3 linked regions of the Lytechinus pictus genome follow. The protein of the gene in region 3 purifies or fractionates together with the protein of the main gene of each other region. This does not show direct contact. Links are inferred from orthologs where the notes say so. Each region holds a gene or a part of one and is shown on either strand. Other genes may lie near its edges. The genes, in order: cyclin-dependent kinase 9-like, RNA N6-adenosine-methyltransferase mettl16-like and probable RNA methyltransferase Y17G7B.18.

Region 1 (10,820 bases), on a different chromosome or scaffold from region 3:
ATTTTCCATTTCCATGGTGAACTTGATACACTCATGTTAAGAGTTGAGGTGCTGAAGAAATTGTATTGCTAGTTTCCTCAGCTCCATAGTGCCAAACCACAAAAGTGTCAGCCACATATCTAAGCCACACTTTGGGTTTGTGATTGGAGAGCCGTGTCCTCGAAATGTTCCATGAACATTTTGGCTACTACTGGGGACAAGGAAAAACCCATGGCAGCCCCCTCTGTTTGCCTGTAGAATGTATCTCTCCATCTGAAAGAGGTGGAATTGAGCCCGGGGGGCCAGTCAAATATATTGCTGTACACACGCATGACAAAAAAAACGCGTTTAAAGGGGTATTCTTTCGGTTTTTGACGCGGTCCGCGCGTGGACTCGTTAAGAATATCAAAAACACAGATTTTCAGGAAAAAGGGTGGTTTTGAAAGACTGGTCAATGGTCATTCGCGGGGTCAAACGTATTTAGGGTATGTTTTTTCCCAAAGCTTTTTTTTTTAAGACTAGCCAAACTTGTTTAGGGTATTTTTTTTTTCCAAGCTTTTTCCCCCGAGGTCATATTTTGGCGATAACTTGTTAAGGGGCCAAGATGTGTAAATAAAGCCTGCAAAAAACTTGTTTAAGGGGCTATTTTGCACACAGAGAAAAACTTGTTTAGGGGGTGGTCACGCGTGTGTACAGCAATATATTTGACTGCCCCCCCCCCCCCAGGGAATTGAGGCACATCTCAAGCAGGTCATGGATCTCTAGGGGAGACAATTGTGTCCTGTCAGGGAGAGTTCTGTCAAATTTCAATCTCTCAAGGATGATGGCGCAAGCATCCTTAACTGGTACACTCGTGAACAATGACTAAACATCAAAGCTGATGAGATTGGAAAGGAGAACGAACGAGACAGAACTTTTCCTTTTTTTGAGGGTCCAGTTTGTGCCTCGATGTTGGGATTCTGTGTCACGATAGACTTTCATCCATATAATCAAGGTAAGTGCATAATTAACTTTTCCTCTTTTATTTGGGGTGCTATTGCTACCCATTCTACCCCAGTTTATAGAGTACCCTCTGCCTAATATTACACGGACGAGTCCTGGGGCCTGTTTCATGAAATGGTCTTTGGTAGAACCGCTCTACGTATTAAGAACGAGATATCGCTCAACTGTTTCACAAAGCCGATTTGGGCAAGGAAGAATGGTCCTTGGAAAGACACCTTCAGACATGATCTTCTTTGCACACCGCCCGCCACCGTCGGCATTGAGAGAAAATGCGTTTACGGCAAGCCACACTGACATATCACCTTTAAACATTTTTTTGGGGGGGGGTCATTCGATTGCACTCTGATGCATTTTATCTGGGATGGCGCCAAGTTATTTTTTATATGGGGGCTAGTTGTCATCAACGGATGTCATTTTAACTTCTCCGGGGTAATAGGCCCAAATAATTTTATATGTTTTTTTATTATTCTCCCTCCGTCTTTTCCCCATCCCTTTTTTTTTTAATTAAAGGAAACCAAAACCCAAGAAGAGAAGCAATCTTATGGGAAAGAGTAAAATGAGAGGAACGATTTAAAAAAAGTTTAATCAAAATCGGTTGAACATACATATCTATATTTTTTATTTTCTTAAAGTTTATATTCTTATATAAACTTCCATAAAGTTGTCAACTTAAATATGACAAACGTTTATGATCGTTGTCATTTTTAGCATTGTTTCTGTAAATAGTATTTTTTCCATTGCGGATTGATTTCACACATTTTTCTATGTTTTATTATTGCAAAGCACTACTTTACCCACTTGGACATGTTTGCACCAATTTTCATATTTTGCTTGTCTTGGTATGTTTATACTACTCTAAACACTCACATGTATTTCTTGCGTTATATCTGACAAATGAAATAAATAAATTAGATTTTTTACATGCAGTCTCTCATATTTTCCTTTTTAGTCTCATACAATCAGACACATTGACTTTGTTTACTCCATTCAAACCCTTATTTTACCTCAACAAATAACATTTAATGCATAATTTGCAAAATTATCATTATAAATAAGTATTCTATGAAAATACAGATTATTGAACAAATAATACTATGTCGAAATTACTTAGTCAATTCAATTTTTATGTCGGACAAGGGTCTCTTTCGTTAAAATATCAATGAAAGGTGTCTCTAAAGACTAAAAGGACATTGTGTTCTAAACAAATCCATTTATTAAAGGGAAATAATGAAAATCTCGATTTTATCCAGTTTGTTAGTGAATCTTTAAAAAAATTATTTTTCTCTTTTTACCTCATTTATAAATAAAGTAAGCTCCATACATCAATGATCAATTCTACAATCAGTAATAAATAAAACATTATTTGATCTCCATTTATTGAAATATATGGTTTTATGAAAAGTCGTCATTCCGAAATAAAAGGTTCAGGTGATGATGAAGACTAAATATTTTTCTGATAGTATAATAAGTATAACTGTTAGTATCAATTTCAAACGATGTCGCGGACTTGGAAGACAAAATTGCCTTCATGACCCGGAAAGCGCTGATTTGTCGCCAATCTTCCTATCTCGGAAGAATGGTCCTAGCTAGGACGTTCCTATGTATCGCTCATCTCGTCATGCAACAGGCCCAAGCTCATCGTGAAACAGGCCCCTGGCCTGGGCTCCCTGGGGCCGATTGCACAAAAGGGTCTTTCCAAGGACCGTCTTTCGTGTCGCCCATCTTTTATGATACGCCATGTAAAACGCATTTCAAATAAATTATCTGCAAATATATTTTATTTGTCCGTTAAAATAAACAAAATATTTGTTAATAAAATGATGTGATATCTCATTTTGTATAAAATTTGATTTAAAAGCAAGCTTACGAATTTTATTTGTTTATCATAAATTTCAGAAACACCCCGCTTACAGCGCATCATAAAAGATGGGCGACACGAAAGACGGTCCTTGGAAAGACCCTTTCGTGCAATCGGCCCCTGGGTAACTTAAGTTAGGGGACCACGGCACCATATGTATTGCCTGTCAGTGTCAGACTCAGTGTCAACTCACATTCACAACAACTGAGGCATGTGAGGTGAGGCAGCTCAAGGCAAACAAAGTTTAAGAAGCTCTCAATAAAAAGAAATGAACTTCCACAACATGCAAAAATTCCATATTAATTTATACTCACCTTAAGATATCCGGTCAGCAAAAAAAATGTAGTTATTGACTTAAAAACACTTTTAATGTCCTTGGTTTTCCCCACAGCACAGCCACAGCCACCACAGTCCACACAGATACAGGATACAGGTTTGGAGGTGTGTCCGATACGAGTATTTTGATTGGTTGAACACGAATGACAGAAAAATCCCAGACCCTAATTTTAAAAAAAAAAATTCACTAGATTTGTTTCTCTATTTCCAAACGACATCATTAAAATAGATACTTAAATCATTTTCAAAAGAAATGAAAAGCGTCATGAATTTCAGTTGTTCTTTGAAGTCTTTGAATTCTTAACAACTATAGTTTCATATTTTAAATCGAAAGCCTTGAAATTAATATCGATTCCGATCCCATGCATGCACTGCATGCACTGCACTGTACTAGCTCTCGAGTACTCGCTTCTTTCATTTCAACGAAAATGTGAAAATGGCTGAAAGCAAAGCGTCGACGTTTTCTGGACCACCCGGTCAATCGTCAGCTAATCAAGGATACAAGATGGCAATGGCCCCGTATCAAAAAGGGGGAGAATCCATGGAATTCAAATATTGTGAAGAAGTCACTAAATATGAAAAATTAGCAAAGATAGGCCAGGGAACATTTGGGTAAGTTACCGAAATAGAACTGTAGCGCAACATGCAAACCTTGGACCACAACAGAGCATGTCTTTTGCACATGTATTGGATGGAGAATATCACGATTTCGTGTTGCGGTAATTCATATTGCACAAGAGAAAAATCACCAAATTTGACAGCATCGCAGCCATTTGTGTGACTAGTCACTAGTGGCCTTATCGTGAAATTTGCTTCGACTTAATCACCTCTCTTCTCTCGTGTGTGTAGCCAGGAGGCTCCTAGTCCTAGACCTAGGCTAGATAGTAAAAATCATTCACTAATGTGTGCTTACTCTCCACTTACTAGGCCAGGGATTGCGTCCCATTCATCATGTGCATGTACCGCGAAAAAACTGAAATTTTCACCCCCTGGCCCCAGATTAAATACTTTCCTTCAACAGATCTAGCCATGATGGTCCTGGCTAAATGTAGGGATTCCACTGTGGGTGCTGCACTTACTATCTTACAAAAAATAAAAATAAATCATCATGATCATGCACGCGCGTTATGATGTCATCGGGAATAGTTGTGTTTCTTAATTCTTTCAGTTTCAGCATTCATGAGTCATCGGTCATGACATGATTAGAATGTACAAAAAAGATGCATTAAAAAATGAAATCTGGCCTTATTTTTTTTTTTTACATTATTAATCTGTGATGAATGAATTTCGAATATGATACTTTGCTTACCTGAGTCATGAACGATGTTTCTGATTTTAAAGGATTTCAGGAGTCATATTTCCATGCTCATTTGCTGAATGAAGTCGAAAAAAACGGACGCATTCCAAATTTCTAGAGGCCGACAGATTAAAAATCTTTAAAAGTCTTTGCACTGACAACTGCAATGACATGTGATAAAAATAATTAAATGGCCACCCCTAGACAAAAGTGAAATGAACCTGCCGTGGAATGTCAAAGTCAGGTGAAGTATTTGAATGAGAGTTACAGCATAAAAACATGATAACTTCTTAAAATAAGAGTTTTTAATGCTTGGCATGTGCAGTTGTGCTGAAAGGTAAAAAAAATGTTTACGAATCATTTTAAAATTGCTTTTAGCAAAATATTTTCAAGGATAAGCAAACGCAAAGAAAAAAAACTGATTTGTGACGTCATCAGCTCATGAAAATTCATCGTATCCCACGATACGGCATCTGGATACGGTGATGTAATTTTATGCAACTAAATTTGCGCGAACAGTCATTTTATGAATTATGGTTTTCAGAATATGTAATGTGCGTTAACAAAATCTATGTTGACCTAATGAGTTTTTTTATGTCTATTTAATGCTTCTTTGGCCCCACAGCCGTAACGGTTGCGCGAATTGTGATTGAAGCAGAAAATTAAGGCACTACTGATATATCAATTAAAAAAATGTCAAAGGAAAGGAATTAAAGTCAATCTCATTTTATACTAACAGTTTATAGATTTATTCACATCGATAATATTGATAAATTTACTCCATACTTTCCAATGTCTAGATCTCTACATCCTTAGAAAGTGCGATTAATTTTGTGAATGCATGTTGCTTCTTATGTCAATGACCAACTACGTTGATCTACGGACCGTATGCGTAGCCCCTTGCCTATAAACCTGTAAAGACATAGGTGAAATCAAACAATTCATCCAACGATATTCAAATTATACTAGCAACTCATGTGGGCGTGAACAAACGAAATACATATCCTCTAAAACGTTCAAACATATAAACTTCAATAATTTATACTTGAAATGAATATCTATGAATAAATTGTTAATTCCACTCTATCAGAAATATGTTTAACAAAGTATTGTTATTATGTTGAATGTGTACTTCTAAATCTATTAAATCACGTACCCCTCCAGACCCAAGGTGGATTTCCCAATTGTCATGAAGATTATTCAGCCACAATCACAGCAGACACATCCATAAATGAATATTAATTTCATTCACTCCGAACATTGACTTCTTTTCGCCAATCCCCTCCCCCACAAACATCCCATCATTTCCATTTACATTGCCCATGACGACCCTCATATTCTCTCTTTCTCCTTTACACAGATTAATTTCAAATAATATTTTATTTTAAATCGTAATTGTTAAGCACATGTACAACAAATTCATAAAGTATTCACTGTGATGACTAAAAACATTTCTTGGGACAGTGACATGCGCGTTCATTATCTAATTGGCGGGCAAAGAGCAATAAAGAACAATACAAATGAAAATACACTGTACCGAACGTATATAACTCACATTAAAAATGAGTCGTAATATGATAAATAGTATGAATAATATAAATAAAATCATTACTTAGGGAAATTATAATAGATTCAATGAATATCTGGAAAAAAAATAATAATTCAAATTAAATTAGTTTTGGACCCCATCTAATTTTGGAAGACTCTAATCAAGGATTTTGATGCCATGTGCGATTTGTAGTTCATCCTAACATCGTTTACCACATAATATCACCCATAGCAACCATCACATCCAGATGTCACTCTGACAAAATAACAAAATATACACTATTTTGGGATATAGCCTGCCGAGCTACTAGCACGTAGATACGGCATTTATTTCACATAAATTATCAACACTTTCATTTTTCAAAGTATGAAAACAACTTCTAATAAATTCTGTCTGAGAATCATACATATATAATGTTTTTATACCTCTTAACATTAATCATGTGAAGTCATAACTAATTAAACTGTTATGCCCTAACCCTAATTATGCCCGGGTTTAAAAAAACAGATATAAAACTGAATCAGCACTAAACTCTGAAAAAACCGTATGGCCACCGCAATTTAAACTTTGATGCAACAACGTCTCCTACCAATTATCATTTTTTAATTCACTCTATAAAAAGAACTCCATATTAAAAAACGTGCTAGTGTGCGGTCCTTGGAAAGCTAGAATGACTTCCCCTACAACACCACACCCTTATCTCGCATCCCCTCTTTTCATATTCAAATGAAACACCTTCGACGCAACGGAATTGAATAATTCCGTCACGCATGCCGGAGAACAATTAGTGTTCACCACTTATTGCCGTATAAACAACAGTGGAGGAGCCGTGGTGTAGTGGTTCTGACTCTCACCTTGCAAACAGAGGGTCGTGTGTTCGAATCCCACCGCGGTCTGGCGTCCTTTGGCAAGGCGTTAATCCACACTTTGCCACTCTCGACCCAGGTGCTAAATGGGTACCCGGTAGGATGTGAAAGTCATTGTAGCTTGTCCAGTACTGTGTGCGCCTCACCGGCGACTGACTGGAATACTCCCCAGGGAGTGGAGGATGTGCACACATTGTGTGCGGGAATGACTGATTGAATCCGATGACCGGGGTAATAATATATCTGTAAAGCGCTTAGACACGTCGTTCCGATGTATTAAGCGCTATATAAAAACGGATTATTATTATTATTATTATTAACATTTGCCAGCTATACAATGTAACGCTGGCAAATACATTTCTGTACTGTAGCTGATGTGTGGCATGTCATGTGTCGAGTGAGACAGAACTTGGGAGACACACCGTCGTGAAATTAACTAACACTTTCAAAAGATATAAATATGAATAAATCATTTTGCTGTAAGTAAATGAGTTGGACATTTCATCAATCCATTCCTTTGTCTTTGTCATTATTGATGTGATCTTTGAATAATTTTATCAATTCGCTCTACGGCAGTGTCATCAGAAAAGCATTCATGTACTCAGGCTGGGAATGGATGAAATTAAATTTCGATTAAATTTTGATATCATTTTTGACACTTTACTTTTATATCAACTGAAATCCGTAACATCTAAATTACATTGCCCAAACAAGTAACCGACGGTACCCTTGGCCTTCTCCCCTCATTTTATTTTTGAGCGTATTTACTACCATTTTTAAGACGTAAATGTGAGCAATGCGATACACAAATGCGAGGTAAACATCTTCGCGCCTCCTACAAAAGAGAGTTTTGGGCCTCGAGTTGAGGTCGTATGGTAGAAGAAATCCCGAGAAGAAAACATGGACAAAATAATTGACATGTTTATTTTAGGATCTGAAAACCAAATTTTTTTTTTATACCCCCAGTATATATTATTCAGTTTTTGGTGTAGTTCTAGGCTTGTTTTACAGTAGTTGTCCAGGTTGTCGGGGACGTTCACGGTTGGCGGCTTTGCCCTGAAAATTTTCAGGGTAGTCGGCGCCCGCCCACCGTGACGCGTGGTAGCGAGAACGTTGCAGACGGATCAGGGGCAGCGGAAGTGGGGGGGGGGGTTAGGGTACAAAAACGTAAAAATGACCATATGATTGTGATTTTTTGCATGGTCAGCCCCCCCCCCCCCTCACTTTGAAAACCGTTCCGCGGCCCCTGCGTATTGCTTGCGTTCAGCATAACAGCAAAGACAATAACTGCAGCCTCCGCCTTTGATTATACATGTAGGCTACCACATTCAAGTCTTCTGCCGTGCCATAGACACATACATGTATGGTTAGTGATATTGGCAGCAACGCATTGAACCAGCCCACTATTTCAAATTCCATGCACTATCACTGTCTATACTGCTCATTTCTGATCCTAACTGTTTCTTGCATTGGGAGCCGGGACATTGTCTTCCAAATGACTAAAGCTTAATCATAGTGATTTTAAAAAATGATTTCAATCTTAGGTGGCATAAGGTTATGTCTCACTCTACACAAAAACCCAATATCCCTCAATTTCAGCTGAATATTGTCAGATTGGTAAAGATTCAAACAAATGCAGTTTAGCAAATTATTCATAACCTCATTGAGATTGAAATAAAATAACATATTAACAATTTTTCTCCCTTCCTTCCAGCGAGGTGTTCAAAGCAAAGCATAAGAAGAATAAAAACATTGTTGCATTGAAGAAGGTACTGATGGAGAATGAAAAAGAAGGGGTAAGTTAAAAGTAAAATCTTTTATTATTATTGATCTCAATCAAACCTTTTTTCTTGTGAATACAGTTTGATATACCATCATACCAACATGTGGATATCTGTTCAATATTGACAGTGGTAGATGTACACAAAACCGAGTAATTGATAGTATCATTCATTGCATTGATCATCATGTGCACTCTGTGTACAAATCAACTTTACACTCAATTTTTAGCTTTGTGTTATAGGGCTTAGGATTAGCCAATGAGAGGAGCACTTAACTGTAAAAAAGCAACAACAAAAATCTAGGCATTGTACATGTATGTTTGTTTGGGAATATTTTCAATTTTAGACGGTCGATTAGGTGGTAAATGGTAAAAATCAGTAATAAAACAAAAACCATGAAGTTTGAAAAGGTATAGAACATGAAACCAGTTTATGACTGAAGATAATTGAAAATGACAGAATTATTATCGATTGACAAATTAATATGTAAGGCGTGGTTTTGCCTATTATTGCCGCGGCGTATGTTCGTTTGGATTAGCCAGTAGTTAAAGGAGAATGAAACTCTTGGAGCAAGTTAGCTTTTGTGAAAGCAGAAAAATCAAAGAATAAGATCAACAAAAGTTTGAGTAAAATAGGACTAGCAATAGAAGAGTTATGAGCATTTGAATGTCGAGATCACTAATGCTATGGAGATCCTCCAATTGGCAATGCGACCAAGATCTATGATGTCACAGATGAACAACTCTCCCTTTTTGGACACTGAAAATATACCCCAAAACATCTCTTTTTGCTCATTCTAATCATATGACAAACAATTCATCAATGATATAATGTTGTGAAACCTCTGTACTTGTCCTCTCATAAAGAGAACACCTCACCTTGTGATAAACTCTAGAAAAGTGAGAATATAAGTGAAATAAGTACTAAAGTAATTAGGGAGTTGTACATGTGTGACACCACAGATCTTGGTCGCATTGCCAATGGGAGGATCTACATGGCATTAGTGATCTCAATATTCAAATGCTCATAACTTGCTTCTTATTCATTCAATCTTCCTCAAACTTTCAACAATATGTTTCTTTGATTTTTCTCTTTGATATAGATTCAGCTAGTTTCAAGGGTTTCATTCTCCTTTAACTGGGGGTGTTTAAGAGTTAGAGACATAATAACTAGAAGTTTGATGTAATGTCATCTCTCATCCCTCACAACACATACACACTGATTATAAACTAAACTGAAATGAAGAAACAAAAGTGTAACTAAAATTAATGTTTAAATTATCATTATCATTTTATTAAATTGTTTAACTAAATATCAACTAAATATCAACCCTATCGTCCCTAGCCTTAAGCCACATCTACATTATAATGTACTTGCCCATTGCAATGGCCACCGCTCTCTCATCCACCACCATTTGAACAGACGAAGCTCAAAAACAATACAGCACTACATTTTGATATGTCTCCTTCCCAAACTAAAAATCAAAAACTGCCAATGACTACCAAAAAGCATGAGGACCATGCCCAAACCCTGAAATCCCATAATAATTTCGTTGGTTTTCACTGCATCCATCCCATAATAACAGTATAACACTAGTGTATTTCTAAAAACAAGGATACATTACAAGAGAGAGAGAAAAGAGAGGAGAGGGGTAAGGAAGAAAGTGGTCATTGTGCATTAATGCACTACACTGATAGATTTATTGTCCAAAGGGGCATTAGCCTTAACCTCTGATACTTTGATCAAAGACCAGAAGCCTTGGAAGGGACATGAATGAAAAGAAGTAATTTTGAAGATAGTAAAACAATAATGAATGGAAAAGATGCAGTATTACCCCAAAATTCTCAAGCTTACAAATATATGAAGAAACTTTATGATCACTTGACAGACCATCTAGGTAGTTATATAACCCTTTGTGTTTATTAATAAATTATTATCAATGTAAGAGAGATGACAGTGGATAATAGTCTCTATGAAATACATATTCTTACTTGCATGATAAAGGGAAAACATTTGAAATTAGAATGTTTAAAAAACACATGACTATCCTGAATATGATGAAATGTATTTGTACCAAATTATTCCCATTTATTATTCTCCTTCAAATCTCTTCTTCTATGCTTTAGTTTCCAATCACAGCTCTGAGAGAGAT
Region 2 (10,820 bases), on a different chromosome or scaffold from region 3:
AAAAAGCAATTTACATGTAACATTGATATCAATACAAAAGGTGATTTATACGGAATTAAAGTAGGAAAAGAAGGCCCTTGTTCAAAAATAAAGTCTATCTCTTCTTCTCATGATACTTACAGCTCTTCTCTCTGTCTTTGTGAGAGCACCATGGTGACTCTGTGGTCGAAGGCTGCTATAAGCAGCTCACTGTGAGAATCAAGTCCTCCTCCTACTCCTCCTCTATAAAACCATCAGAGTGATCTTGATTGGAAATCCACTCTTTATTTTCCTCTTCCTTTTGAATAAGTCTTGAGAATTTCAGTCTATTATTCCACGATAACCACTCGATAGCTTCTTCCACATACCCTACCTCCGTTCCATCTCACTTCAACCTGTGGGTAAAAAATAAAAATAAAATATTTAGCCTAGCACTACAGGTAGAACCCCAATATATAATTTTCAATAAAATGATTACCCTATGGGTAACCTAAACCCTCTTGTGAAACATTTTTTTCCATCCTATGAATTTGTGTGTCGTCTGCGACCCGATAAAATTTAATGCCAATATTGAGGCATACAGAACATCTTACTGCGTAAAATTCTAAATCATCGTAGGGATAACCATACAGCGTGTCCCCAAAAATGTCCCTCTGATTATATACGGCTGAATTAATTAAAAATTGAAAATTATTCAAATCAAATGTATGGTAATAGGAAACTCATCTCAAGTCCTTACTTCTACATGTATATCTCGCTTCAGCAGTTTTGAATACACAGTCTATTATGTAACAATGGTGCTTTTCAGCCCATTCCAAGTTCGCATACATACAGCACTGCTACCACTGCTGGTTCTGCACTGCCTAGCATATCAACCCCCTTTGATCATTCAGAATCTGATCAGGGAATTCCCTGAGCTGACCAGGAAATCTCCATGATCTAGCCAGGCTCATCAAATTACAACCTTGTGCAGGTTAAGAAGGGCGACAAGAGTACTTGACAATTAATTGTGTTTGATAATGTATTTCATGCCTAATTCCAACAATAATGCATTCTTGATTTAATTCTTTTTTATCATTAAAACAATGAATTCACTGTACCTTTTTGAATTAAAAAAAAAAATATTTTCACAAGTAATGTTCGCTTTCACAAGGTGTGATACACTTGTGGTTTGCTCTTCATCATAGTTCAGCTTATTGTAATTATCCGTCATTCATATCCATCCATGATTATCCAATATTCACAATTTCCTTCAAGTTGGTGCACTGATCGCCTATCAATCATAAAAACTTCTTTTTTGATGGTTATTACCCTTCTGCACATGCTCAAGTTTATGATTTGATGAGCCAGGATTGATCAGGAAAATGTCCCTGCTCAAATCCTGGATAGTATTTAAGTGGAGGTTAACATGTTAAAGACAATGCAGAAATACAGCAGTGTTGCAAACTTGGAATGGCCTGAAATGCACTACTGTTGTGTAACAGTGTATGTATTCAAAACCGCTGAAGCGAGACCAATGACATTTTCAAGAAGTTAGATTATGAAATAAGCTTTCTACTCATGTACCTTTGATTAAAAATACTACATTTTGGAATTACTTCAGCCCTATGTCAGAGGGACATTTTTTGGGGGGACGTGCTGTACTTAAATCTGTGATCATGCTACAAGGGACAGTGATTTTTTGAAAATTGCCTTTTGAAACGGAAAGTGGCTTTTCAAATTGAAAATCACAGAAAACATATCTTTACTCAAAATGCATAGAACAGCAACAGAAATTACTCCAAAATCTCAACAAAATACAAATACTAACTGGCCACAAAACACGATCTCACTTCGCTACAATCATGACAATCCACACATCGTGACTGCACTTGACTCCATCACTTGATCATACATCAAAAATACATTGTACAAGCGGGTCAAACGCAAGCCCAAGCTGAAATAAGCGACCAAACATTGTTTGATTATAACCAACGTACGTAGTAGGCAGCAACACACGTTCGTGTTGCTACCCTCTAGTTCGGTGATGTAACAGCACGAACGTGGTACTCCTCAAATACAAAATGGCAGATAGGCAATAGTCGTCGACTGCTCAAAACGATGTCCAAAAATCCCCACATTATCAATAAAATTTCATTCAACCCTTAAATAATGCTAATAATGTGAAAGGTTAGGATGTATTCATATTAAATGTGTTTCTTAAAATTGTTTTGTGTTTGTATAGATCAGATTAGAGTGGATTCCAAAGCGTTGTTAGTGGCGGATACAAATTCTGACCAGCCCGAGTACTGTGACATTGCTACTCCAACGGAATTTCCATTTTTCAAACATGCTGAAACGGATTTTAAGATTTTCTGAAAAGGAAAAGGCAATTTTTTTACACAGAAATCACTTTCCCTAGATGCTACTTATTATTTATAATCACGTATTAAATTTTAGTATTTGTGAAATAATAATTTTTATCTATAAATTGTTCTTCAAGACGGCATCGCTAGTCGGAAGTACGTCATCACGAAGCGGTTCAAGGGTCAAGTCTATTGTCTTTGCTTTGTTGACAAACGGATCGAGGGATCCACGGGAGATCGGGTCTGGTAAGAAACATCTCATTTTTACCATTTATAGTGAAATAATTTTTATCCCTTTATACGCATTAGGCGCCTGAAGGTTCATAAATAAAATTGGACAATACAAACCGATTTCACCCTCTAACTATGGATTTCCTTGGGAAATCCATCTTTGTGTACATGTGTCTCTTATATGGATGGGGATTCAAGACTCCATGATGAATATGTCAAAATATTTAAAAAAAACATCATCATGGAGTCCTCAAGACTAGACTAGATCTAGCTAGCAGGCCTGGCCCATTTAGTCATTGGACCTTAACCCTTCTGTACTGTAAACGCTCTTATTTTCGCGAATTAATTTTTCACGCTTGGCGGCTTCAAAAAATATTCGCAAGTTCTTGAATTTGCGCTGCACTCTCCATAATCCAAAGTCACTTCCTTCTTCCCCATCTGTAAATGGTTTTAATTAACATTTCAGCGACGAAATTGTATATTCTGATCATAATTCTAGCTCTAAAGCGGCGTAATTCAGCATTGTTTTGATCCAATCATGAGCTTTTGTGACATTTAGCGCAACATTTCTTTGCAGGGTGGACTCGGGGAAGGCAAAACGGAGGCACTGCTGGCCTGGTATGGACGGCCGAGCACCTATAATATAAAGGACCAGGGGGATTACGGCTATTCAAAGTGCATGGGTTCAATCAACAAACCTGGGTGATCGACCCAACGTCTTCTTAAAAACTAAACAGATCTTAACACTCACCAATCTCGCACAGCAAAAGCAATTTATATTTCAACCAAATTCCAAAATCATAATTTAAATACTGATCTGCGACTATTGAAAAAATTATCTCAATGCTTTGGAACAAATTCTCGCAATGGCGTGCATGTCTTTTTATTTGTGATCGATTTTGGAGCTCAAGCTTACTTGCTTAAATGTCGCCCTCTATACAAGATCTAACAAGTTATAGGGCCTAGGTCAAAATCAAATTGTGCAATCTCTTTGCCAAAACGATACACACAATTGAACCGCGGTTCAAAACTTGCATTAAAATAGATTAGATGCTCATAAATTCGTGCTCGCCGATCTTCATCTTGCCGCAAAAATTTCCACTTTTAGTTTTACAGTAGTTGTAAAGAACTGCAGAAGCTACCACTTCCATGACTGCACTGCTACTGGGCCTGGCTTGCAATGTTGCGCTCCCTTCTAACTCTGTCTCTGCACTCACTCACGTCACTCTCACTCAACTCAGCTCATGCACTGCACTGCATGCATTGGCCAGAATATGCACAACAAATGTCAACGCCTACGGAATGGGAATGCACATTTGCCCAGCACTAACGTTACACCTTCTCCTTCACACATATCCTAGCACACAACCAAATTGCGAACTATTTAGATGTAGAATCGAATTCTATAGATTTCCAATGAAAATAGAACGCTCACCGAAAAATAAAGAACTTAACAACCAAACATCAAGTATATAAACCGGTATTCGTCCGTTGGTTCGAAGTATTTTTCTCGCAACGCATATTGTTGCTGTATTTCCGACTCACATATATTTGCTACACGTTGAAAAATTACCCAGAATCCCTTTCGATACTTGTCTGCAATATCATGCGCAGAAAACTTGTGCGCAGTTTCTAAGTCTCTTCGTCGTCTGCAGCAGCAACTACTCGGAAATCAACAGTAATTTGGGCTGTTTCTTATTGCATTTTTATTGATCTATAGAATGATATTGTATTAATACCATTATTTTTCAGTATTACTTAAGCTGTCTCATTATTCAAAGCACTATCAGGTATCGTCTAAACGTGTATATTACCGATAATTTGCGTGTTCTTGTATTTTGAAGTGACCGGTTATTACTGCTAAATTTGAGGACGTTTATTTACCTTGGACATGAATGCCGATTTTTAGCCAGCCACGGGCACGGCGGCGCGGCCGCGGTATTGATAAGATATGCATGTGCACCCGCTATGGCCTTAGACCAAAAGCTTCGGTCTCTGTTATGTTGGTTGTTCAGCTGAACTCCGTTGGCTTCACTAAAAAGCTTCGGTCTCTGTTATGTTGGTTGTTCAGCTGAACTCCGTTGGCTTCACTACCCAGGGGGGCCACTTCCATTCACGAGTGGATACCATGCGCGACCATGGGGTCTCAAAAAGCACCCTAAACACGTAATTTCCATAATCTGAAAATGCACCCCTTAACAAGTATTGGCGTGTGAAACCCTACCCTTAACAAGTATTGGAAACAAAACGAGATCATGGCAAATATTCCCTGAAATGAACCCCTAAACAAGTACAGGAATGTTTTATTGTTACGGGTCCTTCGGTCGTCAGCTTTACCTCATTTGGTTTAGTACGACCCCACCTTCTACACCTCGCGCAAATCGGACTCTAAACACGAAGTGTTGGGGCCAAAAGGACATCCTTTATAAAACATTTTAATTTTGTTTTATCATCCCCGCAAATTCGACCCTAAACACGTAATTGTCCTAGCGAAATAGATACCCTTTTTTCATTATTATTGCGTTTTTGACACCCTTATCACGTTACGTACGTAACGTGCCCTATCGTGAAAAAGACATCCTTTTTACGTGTTTTTTTGGTCGCGCATGGTATCCACTCGTCAATGTAAGTGGCCCCCCCGGGCTTCACTAACCAAATACAGAGACCGAAGTTCTAGCGCGATCTGTACAGGGGACTCAATGGCCATATGTTTATGTACTTAAGATCGGATAAAACGGGGAAGTGAATTTGCGCGACAGCCGAGGTAAGTCACTGTTTTTGTTCCTTTTAACTTGATTTTTCTCAGTTTTTTGGCAATTGATGCCAAGAGGGAATATTAATTTGCATTTTGGTCGCGTGAATTTTCAAAATTTTTACTCATTAAAGACAAAAATTGAAGAGCCCCGACGGGGGGATTTTGCATTGCAAGTCCCCTAATGGTGGCTGCACGCTAGCGAGCCGTCTGTGTATGAGGAGAAAAAAAAAAAAAAAAAAATGTTAAAAAACTCCTCGAAACAGACGGCTGCCAGCTGTCTACTATGGCCTATGCCTAGTATTATGCACTGAAATGATACATGCAATGCATAGCCATAGATCTGACTAGTAACTAGGCCTTTATCATGTGAAGCATGCCTAAAAATTAACTGTGTGTGTGGGCTGGATTTATAAAAATAGCTTTATCGCCAAAATGGTGACATTATTAGCCTAACTAACTTAAATCAACAATAGATGCTTGGAATGGGCTGAAAATTTCAGAATAAATGTTTGTAGTCTATTCCAAACTATAAATTTGTAAGATAAGTGATGTTATTTTTAAACAAACAAAAATTTTCACAAAGAATCAGCCACTTTTTTTAGAAAAAAAAGTGTCGGTTAAATTCAAAACACTTTTTTAAAGATTAAAAAAAATGTTGGATAATACTGGATTATAATTCAAGATATTTAGGTCTACCCCACCAAACTAAAAGCGTAACACAGTTTTTTTTTCAAAATGCATTTTAAAGCATGTTTTTTTTATTATTACAGTACCAACTCAACTCTGATACCTGTTATCGTGTGTTTCCTTTATTTATTTTTTTTAGATCTAGATCTAGACATCTAACGTTAGGCATAATGGCCTTCAACAAATTCATGCACCCTCGCAACCGCTATAGGGACAACAAACCAAACTTTGATGAATTAGCAAAGAAATATCCAGAGTTTGCACGTCATGTGATCAGGAACCAAACAGGCAAGGCGACCCTTGACTTCCATGATTCTGAGTCGCTGAGGTCACTAACCTGCACGCTCCTGAAGGAAGACTTTGGACTAGAGGTTGAGCTACCTCTTGATCGTCTCATCCCGACCCTGTCACTACGGCTCAACTACATTCACTGGATAGAGGATCTCTTAGCATCGACTGGCCACAGCAAAGGGACGGTGTGGGGCATTGACATTGGTGAGAATCTTCTCAAACTTTTATTTCGCTATGAATAATCAGGTGATAGTCATCTCACCCACATTTTCGCTTGCCATTCCAAAGACTCACTGGCGATCACTTATTTACTGTAACCGCATCTAAAGAATAGAAGAACATCCCCTCTTTCGTCAAATCAATGAACTTTACAGATCACTCGAAGAAAGTCCTAAAAACATTTCCTGATTTCCTGTATTTTCTTTATTTCTTCTTTATAATTAAAATTTGGTTGCCCTTTGCTTTGTAAATGCTGTTATATAATGCAGTATGGATAAAATTACTACTACTACTAAAATGCTACTTGCTAGTTATTATGGAGTGATGTACAATGTTATAAAAGAAATTCGACAAACAACTTATGATCTCCAGGAGCAATTGCAAGCCATTTAAATTTAAGTTGATCACAATTTGGCCACTGGCTAAAACAAACCCATTTGATATAGGTCTTATACAAAATGGTTGATCCACCTGTACCTGACTGTCTGATGCTGTTAAATTTTATTGCTTGAATTTATCTGCCCACAATGTTACATCGTTGTGTTATGTACAGACACTTTGTTCTGTATGGTTATGAATTGGTCTGATGCAGTTGTACAGCGTAAAAACAATTATTATCAAAGCTTGCATCTTAGATTAGATTGACCAATGCTTCTGCATTTTCTTCTGTAAAATGAATTTATTTTAATCAGTTCACACTCTGAATTTACAACGTGAAGAAAACAATAAAATCACTTCAAAAATGGAAAATTGGCAACTTTTGAAATTCTGCCATTATCACTCATTTTTCCTTGTGTTATATCTCTATTTCTTTCTTTAAAAAGTATAGTGAAAGAAAAATGTTGCCAATTTGAAGAGTAGAAGTAGATTAATCCTAACGTAATGAAAGCTGTATACCTCTACAGAATGCCTGATATCATTGTTTTTTTTTTAATATTCCAGGTTGTGGTGCATCGTGTATATATCCATTACTTGGTGCTCAGTTGAACGGATGGAACTTCATTGCATCAGAGGTAGATGCCTTGGCTATTCATTATTCTAAGGAGAACATCACAAGTAATGGACTTCAGGATAAAATAACAGGTAATAATAGATCATTCATTTATCCTCTGATTGTCTGTTTTTTTTTTAAGGAGATCCAACTACCTAATCAAGTCTTTACTATGAGTGGAAAGGTGTCATATGTTACTCCCCCTGAGATAAAATTGCCCATTGAACATTTTCATAGAAAGCATCTCCCTTGATGGAAACAAGTTCCCTCAGTGTCTCCCTAGAGATCACCTTACCCAAAGGGCAACAAATTTATATTTGAACACAAATTCCAAATTGCCTTGGAAGTTTTCCAAGAACCATGGCTCCCCTCCCCACCCCAATTCATCATTGGACAACATTTAAAACATACCACAGTGTTTTCATCATATAAAAGATTATAGAAATGTGACTTGTCTACCATGTGTTAGTATGGTTTCTTGGTTGCCCTGAAGATAGTCACATGTTGGATGGGAGGGGTTTCGATGTTCATTTAAGCAGATAAAACATCCTCATTGTTTCTGGGGTTTCCTTAAGATACCTGTATCAATCAGTACATATGATTATGAAGATTTTTTGACTTTGTAATGTTGTCTGACATTACTTAAATCAGTGAAGTATTGCTTGAAAAGCTCTTGAAAATGCGGTCTTATGCTGACAAGCAACTATGTATGTAAGTCCTGAATCCAAACTGTAATTACAGGTGATATTTTTAACCTGATTTTTTATCATTAAGTCTGTCAAAATGTAGTCATAGCTGATTGTCAAGATGCCACAATGTCAACTTGACTATTTCTTTTGCTTCTACAGTTGTGGAGACATGTGAAGGCAGTATGTTTGAAGATGTATTGAACAGCGCCCCCTCCAGACAGCATCTCTACCACTTCACGATGTGCAACCCACCCTTCTTTGGCAATTCTCTGGAAGCGCAAGGAATTATGACATCTCGCAGCATGAGTCGACCTGAGCCCAAGTCAGTGAGCACTGCTGCCGAACTGGAGATGATCTCGGAAGGAGGGGAGGTAGAATTTGTCCGTAGGATGATCGAAGAGAGTCTTCGTCTTAGGCATCAAGTTGTGTAAGTCACCAAGTGTGCTTTCAAATTAGAGTAAAAGGATGTGTATTAAGACTATCCCAGGAGACAAGAAAAACAATCTAATGAGCATGTCGTCTGTATGGATACATGTTGAGAATTTGAAAAATTAGTAAAGGGAAATAATATCTGTGGTCTTTATAGACAGATGGTTCTTGTTTACAGGTTTGACTGAACATGCAATTGATGCAACTGATCTAGATCTATGTCTGTCATCATTGTTGGTCATGACTGTTGATCTTGTATTTTTTTGCATTGTGCAGCAGTGTATCAGCACATCATAAAATAAAATGATACATGGTGAAAAGGGCAACTTGAGTATATTTTTTTCTAATATCCAATGTGGGACTTTTGTTATTTTTCATCATTCATATACTTATATAAATAGTTGTATTTCAAACATTACATTTTCACTTTATCTGCTGAATTCAACATGTTTTTGAGATTTTCAAAATTCCTTCATGATCTCTCAATCCATATATAGCTAATAACCCTTTATACATTATGAATTTTAAAGGGAAAACTTAGTTCCATCAAAACATACTCAATTATTTCAGTTAGTTACAGTTAATATTTCACAGAATACATTAGTTTGAATGGGTATGAAATAATAATGATATATGATGTCTCTTGTTTCTTTTTCATTAGGTGGTACACATCGATGCTGGGGAAAAAATCCAGCCTGGCTCTTGTCAGAGAGGAGCTTAGAAAACACAAGGTGAGATTGTTTCTATGATATACACATTTTGATTAATTGGTAAGCAATCCTTCAATGGGCCATTTCATAAAGATGTTAGTGATGCCATACATGTTTTTACTCCAGACTAAAGTCTTTAAGTGCTAAAGAGGCACTTTGAATAAGAGAAGGGGATAGAAGGAGGAAGAGGAGGATGAATAGGTAGATAGGCCTATACTAGGAAAAGAATCAGAAACATAAATTAGACCAGTGGGAGGAGAAAGAGGAGTAGTAGAATAAGGGGGAGGGGAAGAGATGGACTCAAAGGAGGAGGATGGGAAGCCAATGTCCATTCCATTCTTATGTTGAAATAGAGCTGATTCCGAAGTTCATTTATCAGCTCCTGTTTGCCTTGTTACAAAGATTAATAATTAAACTTGAAAATTAAATACTTTCCTGAGCAAAAGGACATATAAATGATTTTCAATTTTCATTCCCTCCTACAGGTCCAGAATGTGACACATACTGAGTTTTGCCAGGGTAGAACAATGCGCTGGGGTATTGCATGGACATTCAAGGAGGATATTCAATCACCGGTAAGACAAGTCAATTTGACAAAACCATACTTTCATATATACAAGTTTATCTTTTTTATTAAGTAATATTTGGCCAGGAAGAACCATGTTTATTTCATTTGAATATTCCATTTATCTCATACGTATTTTAGACATTGAATGTGTAGATTACAGAAGTATTTAGGGTTTTCACTTTGTTATTTCCTTAATAAAAGGAATTAGATATTTATGATTTTATTATATTGCTTAATTGGCATGGCTATACAACTTTACATATTTTAAAATTTGAGAAAGACAGACATATTTTCATCATTTAAAAAAATAATTTGGTGATCAAAAGTATGAAAAAGTGCAAAATAAATAAGTAGATAAAATGGATATTGGACAATCTGAAAAGTTAGACCAAGTTATTGATAGACCCTCCCCTTTACTTGTTCTCTCTGAAAGAACCTTTGGGGGCTTGGGGCATCATAAAACGTAGGGTGATTTCTATCCAATTTATATCAAAATATTATTTTCTTGAAAGCTATTCTTTAATTGAAGCCGATGAACATTTCAATTTTACGCATGAGCTGACTCTAAAGCACATATTTCTTTAAAAGAAATGATAACATACAATTCTTGTTGTACCCTATAGCTTCCAGCATGCAAGATGCGGAAAGCTGTCGAGAAGAATACCCCTTTCACTGTCCCAGTCCCAGATACTTACATCCAGCAGGTGTTGGAGCCTGGATTGAGTGGAGGGTTGCAGAACAAGATCCAGGCTGTGGTCAAGGCTGTACATACCATGATGCAGAAATTAGAGGTATGGTGTTCGTAGTGTACAAATTTAAATGAAATATGTGTATTCCCTGTGTGTTCACAGTGTGTTTACAGTGTGTTTAGTGTATTCACAGTTTGTTCACAGTTTGTTCACAGTGTATTCACAGTATGTTCACAG
Region 3 (10,820 bases):
ACAATTTGAATCTAAATTAATATCTTATTTATATTAATCTAATAAGCCTAATGAGAGCGCGAAATTCGTTAATATTGTTGACATTTAATGAACTTTTGTAATTACATAAATTATGAATAAGATGCATGAGTTAATTTATTTTCAACATTCAATGCGAACGCAAATCGCGAGCCGAAAATTTTGATAAACTGCCATGAAATGTGGATTTTAAGTTGTTTGACAATGCATGAAACAGAAATTTTTACAGAGCACTTTTAAAAAATCGATTTGTAAATCAAACAAAATAATAAAATTTCGATTTCCAAGCTGAAATACGTTTTGTATATTAACTTCCGAATTCGATATTTTAATAATTGAGCACCTAAAGGCAATGCGAGCGCGAAGCGCGAGCGAAAATTTTATATAGTGACATGAAAGATTTTTTTTTATAACTTTCAAATTCAAATTCAAATTCAAATTTATTTATTTCACTTCCATCAATTGTACATACATGAATTGTATACCATATATAAACATAAATATTTGTATACGTTGCAAAAAAAAAGGAAAATAATGATACATATGTTAACACTTAGACAATTTGGGCAACACATTGTAGGTTTTAAATAAGTATACTATTTTTCAATAGAAATTAAATTAAGATGGAAATGGAGGGACCCACTAAAAAGCAATGCTTGTACAATGTGGGCCCCTCAAAACATAGATAACACAACAAATAACAAAATAAGGGGAGAATGCCCTGAGAAGATGGATGGGTGTTGCTGTATGTAGATAGAACACATGCCGTCGTGGACTCAAGCAAACTGGATTCAATGATGTGTATAAAGGAGGAAAAGTATATAAAATAACCTGGAAAGAATATAATGCACGAAAAATGTGATTGATGCCGTAAACAAATAACCGGTAGGAAGGCGGATAAGCGGACAGGAGAGGAGAAAATAGAGGAGAGGATAGACACAATAATGTATGAGGTTCAATAATGAGCACATCGGAGAAGGACTTTCAAACTCTTCCCCTCATCTTATTTCATTTACTCGTCTTCATCCTCTTATATTTCCCCCTTTTTTCTCCTCTCTTTTCCCTTCTTTTTCTTTCCCCCCTTTCTTTCCTCCTTTTTTCCGCCAATAGGGGGGGGGGGGGGTGGGGATAAAGATTTGCTTAATTTCACAAAACAGTTATGTACATCCTGGTCGGTATGCAAATGAGGAGATTGATGACGTTATCCACTCACTGTTTCTTTTGTATTTTATTATATGAAATATTCTAATTTTCTCTTCATTGTCAGGTGAAACAACGATTAATTCCTCCCTGAACATGTGGAATTAGCATTGTTCAATACTTTAATACTAGTATGGTTCAGTCAAGTTAATTGTCCTTATTGTCAAATTTGTTTTAAAAAAATGAAATATTGTATAATTCAAACAGTGGCGTACCGTGGGTCTCGGCATTGGGGGGGGGGGGGCACCGGCAAAATTTCGAGTCACTTAGTGAGTGCACGAAAGCGCGCTAAGTTGCCAGGTATACTGACCTGATATAGAGACATTTTAAGGACAGTGCAATTAAACGGATATTATCTCACTGCTTAAATAGTGCAAGCGCGAAGCGCGAGCTGAAATTTTTGTATACATTGACCCCAAACAGGAAAATTTAAGGACTATATTTTAGGAATCCATTAAGAGTATATATATCTCACCATAGTCATCTAATGCGAATGACAAGCGCTTGCTGATATTGTTAGAATTACATCTGAACACATGAAGCACTTTCTGTAGTCATTGTAATCATGATTATCATACGCATAATGATCAAATATTGCGAGCGCGAAGCGCGAGCTGAAAATTTAGTAAATTCAAACCTGAAGAGGGGCATTCTAAGGCTTGTTTGTAGGAATTCACTAAGACCATACGTATTTCACTAACCAAATGATGCGAGCGCGAAGCGCGAGCTGAAATTTTTTTATATTTAGATCAGAAAAGGGACAATTTAAGGACTGATTTTAGGAATTCATGGAGAGCAGACATTATCTCACCAAACCACTAATGCAAACGTAAGCACGGAAGGAAATGTTTTAAATTAAGACCTTAAAATGGGGCAATCACTTTAAGTAGTCATGAAAAAGAAGCATATGTCACTACAGAAAACAATAATAACTCATAGTGCGAGGAAATATATTTGTTGTATATTTAATTTACCTCCGATTTTGATGAAATTTTCAGCAATATGCTAGTTTGATTTTCTACATTTATTCAAATTTGGAGAGTGGACTTGACCTTTAAGTACGGGCCCCTTATGTTGTTCGGATTCAGGATATCAATAATTTTCAGCTTGCGCTTCATACTCGCATGTGATATGTACACTCCTGATAATTTACCCACTGGCGTACAGATGGGGGGGGGGGCGCTTGGGGGCTCTTGTCCCCCAAATTTTTCTAGACAAAAAAAAGAGAAAAGGAAAGAAAGAAGGGTGACATATGATATAAGATTTTCTGAATTTTACTAAGTGTCAAAATCTATCAAAAAATTAGATTTCTGTAATAAAAATGTCGAAATTTTGCTCGCTCACTTTGCTCGCAACTTTTTTCAAATTTTACGCAATGCCCCATATCTAGTCCCCCTCATTTTTTTTGCTCATTACGCCACCGAATTTACTCGTCTAACAGAGCTTGAAAGTCAAAGGTCAAATCCACCTCAGAAAATTGTTGATTTGAATCATTAGAGAAAAATGAGACAAGCATAAATGAATAATGCTGAAAATTTAATCAAAATCGGATGTAAAATAAGTTCCGCTTATTTTTCACAAAAAAATGTGCACAATTTAGTCACATGTAAATGAGAGAATCGATGATGTCTATCACTCACTATTTCTTTTCCCTTTTTATTGTTTGAATCATACAATATTTCAATTTTCACAGATTTGACAATGAGTTACTTGACTGAGTCATGAAATATTAAACAATATGTAATTCAACATGTTCAGGGAGAAATAAAACTTTGTTTCACAGGACAATGAGGAGAAATTTAGAATATTTCATATAATAAAAACAAAAGAAATAGTGAGTAGGGGGGATGCGTCCCCCTGGGATTTCCGCCCATGGGCGGCACATCATGTGCCCCTTCCATATGCTTGAATCCGTGCTTGTCTTACAAGCAACGCTGAGAAAAGGAAGGAAATCAGAGATGGGCATTGATGCGGGGGCATGTTATAGGACAAGTGCGAAATTAAAACAAACAAAAGAAAAACAAAAGTCAGTCAGAAGCTAACCTTTTTGCACTGATATTGCCCTCTCGATTCCGGGCTCAATTCCTCTCAATCTCCTCTTATCTTCATGGCCTCTGACGGAGGGGGGGGGGGGGGGTAAAGACTGGCAAATCCTTCCCTAAAAAACGACGACCAACCCTGGCTGAGATCTTTTTTAAAGCAGTTTAACGTTTCTCTAATACATTTTTTGATTGTATAGGCCAATGGGGGTCATACACCCTCCTTCGATGACTTCACCTCCATGATAATATGCACTATGTGTACAATGATGTATCAGTGGCCGTGGCGTGGGCCTGTGATTGAGCCTGTATAGCGCGCGAGGTGGCCTCATATTCTGCGAAGTAGCAGACGACAGCATCGATCCTATTTATGAATAATGGGAATAATGCTCATAGTATACAGGCAATTGTAGATTGAAGAAATTTTACAAGTAATTGTCTGCCAGTGACTCAAATTCATGTTCAAATCACAATATTACGGATAAAATGCAAGACAACACAAATTATTTACATCATTTAGAATGATTGTTTACTAGGTAATGAAACATTCCCAAGATTCCATTTTCGCGCAAGCGCGGAAACGGTTATCGTTTTGCTACGCAAGCATCGCGGGCCGCTACGTTCTTGAAACATCTGACATTTCGCCAGAGATTTCACCGTTAGTACTTCATTTTTGCCATCTTTGACTGAGTAGGATTGTCATTTATGACATTGGCCCTCGTTGAATGTGATATTTTGGGAGAAACAACCTTGTGTATTCGTAAAATCTCGGCAGAAACCTTGGGCCTGAGTTCGTACGATCGTGTATTTGACTGGAGTATCGTGACCCTACTTTGCATGTTATTGACATTTTTTATGCAAATCGCGAGGGTGAAGTTGTTTACATCGCCAAATCGCACGTGCAACGTTGTGCAGATGCGGCTGCCGCTCTCATGTCTCCAACGAAATCATGTCGGCGAAGGTATTGGAAGCTAGCCCGGAATCGGGCTCCCGAAGTGATCCATTTTCGAGTAGCAGTGCTAGTATTTATGTGCCAGGAACACTGAAAAATGCTAGAATAGGAGGAACAAGTTGTGGGCTGGCGGTCGTGGTAGAGAGCGCGACCATGGCCACCGAACATGTTGGGAGTCTGACTGCACGAACTCTCCCGTCACACACGCTGGTCACCGGCGGTGGTGTTGGAGGAGCCGCGGGAGCTGGTCGCAAGCGACATCACAGCACATCAAAGTCAGCTGGGCAAATCAAGAGGAGAAGAAAAACGTATGAAAGAAATGGATCGAAACCAAAATTTCTTCTTGGAGGTTCTATCACCGATCCTTTAAATTTGAACAGTCTCGATGACGAAGAGATTTCCAAAATTGCGAATGCAGTCACTCCAGCTTGTTCACCTCTTCCTCAAATTAATAAGGACCCTGATCCAATCATTGTTCCGCAAGATTTCAAAGATCCTCTGAAATTGAATACAGCTGATGACAACGAAGAAAACTCTCCGCTCACCAAAACTCTGGTGTCCAGAAAATCAGGAAAGAAGAAGAAATACCACAATAGCGGTGACGCAAAGCGTGATAGCATTGAATCAGTGGGAAATTCTGATAGAGATGGGGAAAGCTCTTGTACCAGGCCATTGTGGCTCGAGTTGCAAAATAGTAAAACCACAAAACTCGCAAACAAAATTGTTTCTCCAGTTCTTCCAGACTCGAGAGGACGCAAAAGGAAAGCTAGTCGGACAGAGCCTAGTTCAAGACTGGCGAAAGCTCTGCTTATTGATGATTTACTGCCACAGCCACAGCCAAAAGCAAAGAGCAGTGAACCAGAACTAAAAAGGTCGCGAAAGTCTCCAGAGGTAGTCAACAAGTTTAGGAGACAGCAAAGTCATGATTCGAAAACATCTAAGCACCTGCCTAAATTCAGAGAACAGGACAAGAAATTCCAGTACGGCAACTATGCACGTTACTATGGTTACCGTACGCCAAACAGTGATGACAATCGCATAGACCTCTTCAAACGTGAATGGTTTGAAGGCAAAAAGTGTTTAGACATCGGATGTAACTCTGGTCATGTGACACTAGCCGTTGCGAAACTGTTCGATCCATCAAGTATTGTTGGTGTAGACATTGATGGAAACTTGATTGGAGTTGCCAGGAAGAATGTGAAGCACTGCCTTGAAGAACTGTTCAGGGAGAAGAAAGGCAAAGGACGTGTGAACTTTCCAGTTTCCCTGCAGAAGACGTATGGACCTTTGGCACCGGCTGCATCCACTTCATCACCAGCTGAAAGAGAAAAATCATTGTTTCCAGGAAATGTCTTGTTTAGATGTGTGAGTATATATACTGTACATGTATAATAGTGGTAAATTAAACCAAAACCATTGAGTCAAAAGAGGATTTGGTTAATTTAAACTTAAAGGAAAAGTCCACCCCAAAAAAGTTTATTTGAATAAAAGGAGAAAATCCAACAAGCATAACATTGAAAATTCATAAAAATAAGATGTAAAATAAGAAACTTATGACATTTTAAAAAATTTAAAGTTTCACTTAATTCACAATTTATATACATATGCACATCCTGGTCGGTATACAAATGAGCAGACTGATGACTTCACCCACTCACTATTTCTGTTGTATTTTATTATATGAAATCTGAAAAATTATTATTTTCTCCTCATTGTCACAAAATTGTATTCCTCCCTGAACATGTGGAATTGCCATTTTTTTAATGGTTTATGGTTAAGTCTAGTTGGTCCTTATTGTCATATCTGTAAAAGTTGAAATGTTAAATTAAAAAAAATGAAAATAGTGAAGGTCATCATCAACTCTCATTTGCATATCAATGAGTTGTGCATAACTGTTTTGTGAAAAATATAAAGCAAAACTTAAAAATGTCATAACTTTCATATACATCCAATTTTGATTAAATTTTCAGCGTCATGCTTGTTTGATTTTTCTTTATTGATTCAAATTGACAATTTTTTGGGTGGACTTGACCTTTAATAAAGATTGATTGGTAAATTTTGATTATTATACTACTGAAAGTCAACAGAATACCTTTCATATTTACATCAATGAACTGATGATGGTGATACAGTTGATGATTGTGAATTTCAGGGGCGGATCCAGGATTTTCCTAAATGGGGGAGGGGGGCAAAAAATTGACAAGCATTAAAAAAAATTTAGGTTTTCAACCAAAAATTACGTAAATTTCGTCCACGAAAAAATTTAAAAAGCAAAAAAAGAAGGTCCTCACTTAAAAAAAAAGGGGGGGGGGGGCACAGTTGTATTTTAACGGCATTTTTTACATTACAATCCGCCAGTGGATCTGCCAGTGGTGAATGTATGAAGATGATGATAATGATGTTGATGATGGTGGTGGTGATGATGATAATGGTGATGATGATGATTATGACGATGATGACGATGATGATGACGACGATGATGATGATGACAATGGTGATGATGGTGGTAATGATAAATAATGAAAAGTGATGAAGCTGCTGGTAGTGTTGTGTGCATAATGAATGCAATGAATGCACAGACTGTAGTGTTACCAATACTGTACTGGTTTTGAGAGAAGTCCATCACAACTTCACAACTTTATCTTTCTTGTGCCAGCTACAGCACACAATTACCACAGTTCGCTAGTAGTTTGAAAGTAAGACTGCTTTTAATTTTGAAGTTGTATCACCAATACATTTCATTTGCCTTTAAATTTCTCAGTTGCAATGCATTATGGGATGGAATTCAAGTACAATGAAAAACAATCATTTTGTTCAAAACATGCACAGTCCCATTGGAAATTGCCTCACTACTATGTATGTGCACTCTGACTCATACTCATTTTAAAATGACAAAATTTTGAAAGAAAATAAGTGAATATTGTATAATTGAGAAAATAGAGCAGTGATATTTTGATTCAAAACACAATTCTCAAATTCGCAAAAGCATTTGTTACATGGTTGACAGCATTCTACTGATCATCCAATGTAATTTTTACAAGTATATTACCTATATTGAGCAGGTTATTATTTTTTTTTTTTGAATATTACAAGTATAAACAAGTAAATTATACCTGGTATTTTGTCATGAAGGTACATACATGTACATGTACTCAAGTAGAAGAGTAAATTTCTTGATCAGAGAAGTCTGGTATTCTTGGTTTTGAGTCTGTCTGAAAGAACCTACATATTGTAATGACTGCATCCTAGGTCTGTGCCTGAAACTAAGTAACTCCACCCCTCCCTCAAGCAAATCCCAAAGGTTTTTTACCTGTTGAGAAGGTTTCATGAATGTAACATTAGGTGGTTTCAAACCGCCTCGATCACAAGAATCCCCGTTAAATTACAAGAACATTTTTAGGCTAAAAAATACCCATTAATTATTCCTGCATTCACACCGCCCCGAAACATACCCTTTGGGATAAATTCCTGAAGTTAGGAGCATGCGCAGTATGGTCTAATAAGCAGGCAAGGTGCGAGATTCAAAACCACTAGCCCAGCAGCCACCCACGGCGCCCGCGCCCAACGACACGCTGGGCTAAAAGTTCCCGTAAATTGCTTTCACATTGCCAAAATACCTGCGACCTTGGAAAAATCCCCGCGAAAGTTCTCGTAATTTCGCCAAGTACCTACTATTTAGCGGGTATTTTCTTTCGGGGAAATTACGCGTAGTTTGCTTTCACATTACCAAAATACCTGGTATTTTCTGATCGGGGTAAATTTCCCGATCAGAAAATACCTGGAGCTGACGAACTTCGAGGCGGTCTGAAACCACCTCCTGTCTGAAGGGGACAATGTTATCATGGTATGCAATCATTTCTCTCCAAGATTTCCTGAGATGTCTGACAGATAAAAACTCTCCAGAAATCATTGAGAGTTTCGGAGTTCATTTTGAAGTCTTCTGTTTTAAGATCCTTGTATTATCCCTGTTTTGTCATTGTATGAGTCAATATTTTGGTGATTTAAAAAAAAACTTCATGTGTGTTATAAATTTTTATTTGCAGGATTCTAGTAATAAAATTGCTTTCATGTGCAGTAATGATGATTATGTACAGAAGTGCACATACACTGTAGACTTGAAAATTCAGCTAGAACAAAACCAATGTGTGAAAATTGCAGCTATAATTTACATTATTAATTTTAAAGGGGTAGTCCAGGCTGAAAGTAATATGATTCGAACAGATATAGAAAAATTAGATGAACAAAACACTGAAAATTTGATCAAAATTGGACAAAGAATAACAAAATTATGGCATTTTAAAGTTGTGCATTGACGTCATTTAAAGTTTTGAATTGACGTCATATCCTCACTTGTTCTTTTGTATTTTATTGTATGAAATTAGGTTTATTAAAATTATTTCCTCCAAGAACTATTTAATATTAATGGATTGACAACTGAATAGTGCGTGAGATATCCATTGCTGCAACTCATTTTATACATGTAGCAGACATATCATTCACACATGTATGAAATAATGAAACAATTATTATTTCATGTAATAACATGAGAAAAAGGAAAGTGGGCATGTGACATCATCAGCCCACCTAGTGAATATTCACAATGACGTGCATAATACTATTTTCATAAAATATTGCTGAACTTTAGAATTCGATATTACATGTAACTTGTTTTTCATCAGATTTTGATGAAACTTTGTCTTTCAGCATTTTGCTCTGTGAATTTTGCTCTGTTTATTAAGATATGTTTTTATACAAATATTTTCAGCCCGGAGTACCCCTTTATTAAGTTCTCTACCAGTTTTTAGGTTTCTTGAAAAAATGCTAGTACTTAGTCTGAATTTTAGACTAGTAGAGAGGCAATTGGATTGTCATTGGTTGCTTCTTGGAAGTACATACAAACTCACTCTAGTTGACCCTTTTGTCAGTCTTCTCTCAAGATCCAGTTGTTATTCAGTTTAGGGTCTGTGCTTGCAGACTACTTGTCCTTTTTTTTCCTCTTCAATTTTTTTGCATCATCATCACCATTATCATCATTATCATTATTATCATCATTATCATTGACTCATTGTCATCATCATAAAAATGATTTATAATCATTGTCATCATCATCATCATAATATTCTAGAGCAATGTGCCCATCTGTAGGGTTTAATAGTCATCATAATTCATGGTTAGTGTGAAGTGTGAACACACCACTGGTCAATGGATGGAACTAATGACTCGTTAATCACTAATCCCAGGAATGAAATACATCCATGCAGTTGTCCCTGATTCAGACTGTGTATGCTATTGATAGTGGGCCTCATTCACCCAAGGTGATAGCATTGGTTATTGACCCAAATAGTTGTGAATACTTTATAGGTGTGAATACTTTATACATGTAGACACATTGTAGCATCCAGACCTAAAATTTGATATTTTTGGCAAGGCCACTTTTCCAGGGCATATTTCTATATCAAAGCACAAAAGGGAAAAATAAAAAAAATGGGCACAACAAATCTGCAAGGCCAAGGGAGCTGCATCAAGTTCGGTCATCAGTCAGGGCACACATACATGTACATGACCATGGGTTGGCCTTTGATTAATTTAAGAGTGTAAACACAACCAATGTAAATATTGCCTGAGGAAATGATCAATGATTGATTGGCACAAAAGTGTATAGTGTGAACATGCTGTTTATTGCATTCAAGTTGGGACTAGTTTACCTACCTGGCATGTTCCTGCAGGAAATCTGTATTTTCCTTTCCTGTGAGCAGGAGTTTGTTGATATATGTAGGTCTACATTGTAATATGCTTTTCACACTACAGAAATTTCCCATAACCCAGGAAATAAATCGGCTAAGCTTAACCCCAGGAAATTGGGGGCCTTAGCCCCCCCCCAATTTCCTGGGGTTAAGCTTAATAGCCCTCTTTGGTTTCACACTATGTTTTACCAAATTGGGCTAGCACAGTAAATAGAACGGTAGGCTAAAAACTACATGTACATGTATCTGGCCCTGCTAAAAAGCAGTGTTAGCCGGCTTATTGCGGTGCTAGTGTGAAACTAAACCGGGCTAAGGAAAAGTGGGGCTAAGCATTAGCCATTCACAAAAGTTGAAATGAATCACACGCTGTGTTGCAAAATCAATATTCATGAGCTGCGACATCCTGGAGTTAAGGCGTTAACCCTATTTAAGCAAATAGTATGGGGTTCAGAAAGACAGTGTGAAACCCAAAAAAGATAGTATGGTGTTGAGGATAGTCCGGGGTTAGGGATAGTATGGGGTTAAGAAAATGCAGTGTGAAAAGCATGTGTTTGTAAACCATGTACAAATATTAGGTCTCTATCCTCTTTTGGAATGGTCAATTGACCTGTGTGAATGATGCCATTTCCCCTTTAATTTATGCATTCTAGGCTTAGAGTTTAATAGCAGTTACTAATTTACGGTATTGGCTTTTTATAGTTTTGATATGTTTTTTTACCCATTCAATAAATTGAATATTTTATCCATAATTCTAATAAAAAATGAATAAGGGATAAATTCAAAGAAGCACATTGTTTTTAACAAAGTTGGACAAACAGTTAGTAAGGAAGTCTTTATTTGTACAAGTTGTAAAAAATTGCAATTGGG

The links.
Region 1: the proteins of probable RNA methyltransferase Y17G7B.18 (region 3) and cyclin-dependent kinase 9-like purify together in Homo sapiens (affinity purification with mass spectrometry; 10 studies listed by BioGRID and IntAct, counting the BioPlex papers as one, with this or other methods). This does not show direct contact. The link is inferred for Lytechinus pictus from reciprocal best matches to the Homo sapiens genes MEPCE and CDK9.
Region 2: the proteins of probable RNA methyltransferase Y17G7B.18 (region 3) and RNA N6-adenosine-methyltransferase mettl16-like purify together in Homo sapiens (affinity purification with mass spectrometry; 3 studies listed by BioGRID). This does not show direct contact. The link is inferred for Lytechinus pictus from reciprocal best matches to the Homo sapiens genes MEPCE and METTL16.

Annotation. Positions count from the first base shown.
Region 1 is NC_087259.1:1,403,610-1,414,429, reverse strand, and holds the start of cyclin-dependent kinase 9-like, read left to right. Parts: upstream 1-3,310; 5' UTR 3,311-3,611; coding exon 3,612-3,787; intron 3,788-3,796; exon of another isoform or gene 3,797-4,075; intron 4,076-4,099; exon of another isoform or gene 4,100-4,225; intron 4,226-8,601; coding exon 8,602-8,683; intron 8,684-10,045; exon of another isoform or gene 10,046-10,161; intron 10,162-10,794; coding exon 10,795-10,820. UniProt on the Homo sapiens protein: Protein kinase involved in the regulation of transcription.
Region 2 is NC_087246.1:17,018,128-17,028,947, forward strand, and holds the start of RNA N6-adenosine-methyltransferase mettl16-like, read left to right. Parts: upstream 1-4,218; 5' UTR 4,219-4,276; coding exon 4,277-4,284; exon of another isoform or gene 4,285-4,345; intron 4,346-6,136; coding exon 6,137-6,492; intron 6,493-7,449; coding exon 7,450-7,590; intron 7,591-8,346; coding exon 8,347-8,614; intron 8,615-9,277; coding exon 9,278-9,347; intron 9,348-9,811; coding exon 9,812-9,901; intron 9,902-10,517; coding exon 10,518-10,685; intron 10,686-10,820. Other genes in the region: lissencephaly-1 homolog, read right to left, coding at 121-152. UniProt on the Homo sapiens protein: RNA N6-methyltransferase that methylates adenosine residues at the N(6) position of a subset of RNAs and is involved in S-adenosyl-L-methionine homeostasis by regulating expression of MAT2A transcripts.
Region 3 is NC_087258.1:6,974,102-6,984,921, forward strand, and holds the start of probable RNA methyltransferase Y17G7B.18, read left to right. Parts: upstream 1-3,775; 5' UTR 3,776-4,206; coding exon 4,207-5,574; intron 5,575-10,820. UniProt on the Homo sapiens protein: S-adenosyl-L-methionine-dependent methyltransferase that adds a methylphosphate cap at the 5'-end of 7SK snRNA (7SK RNA), leading to stabilize it.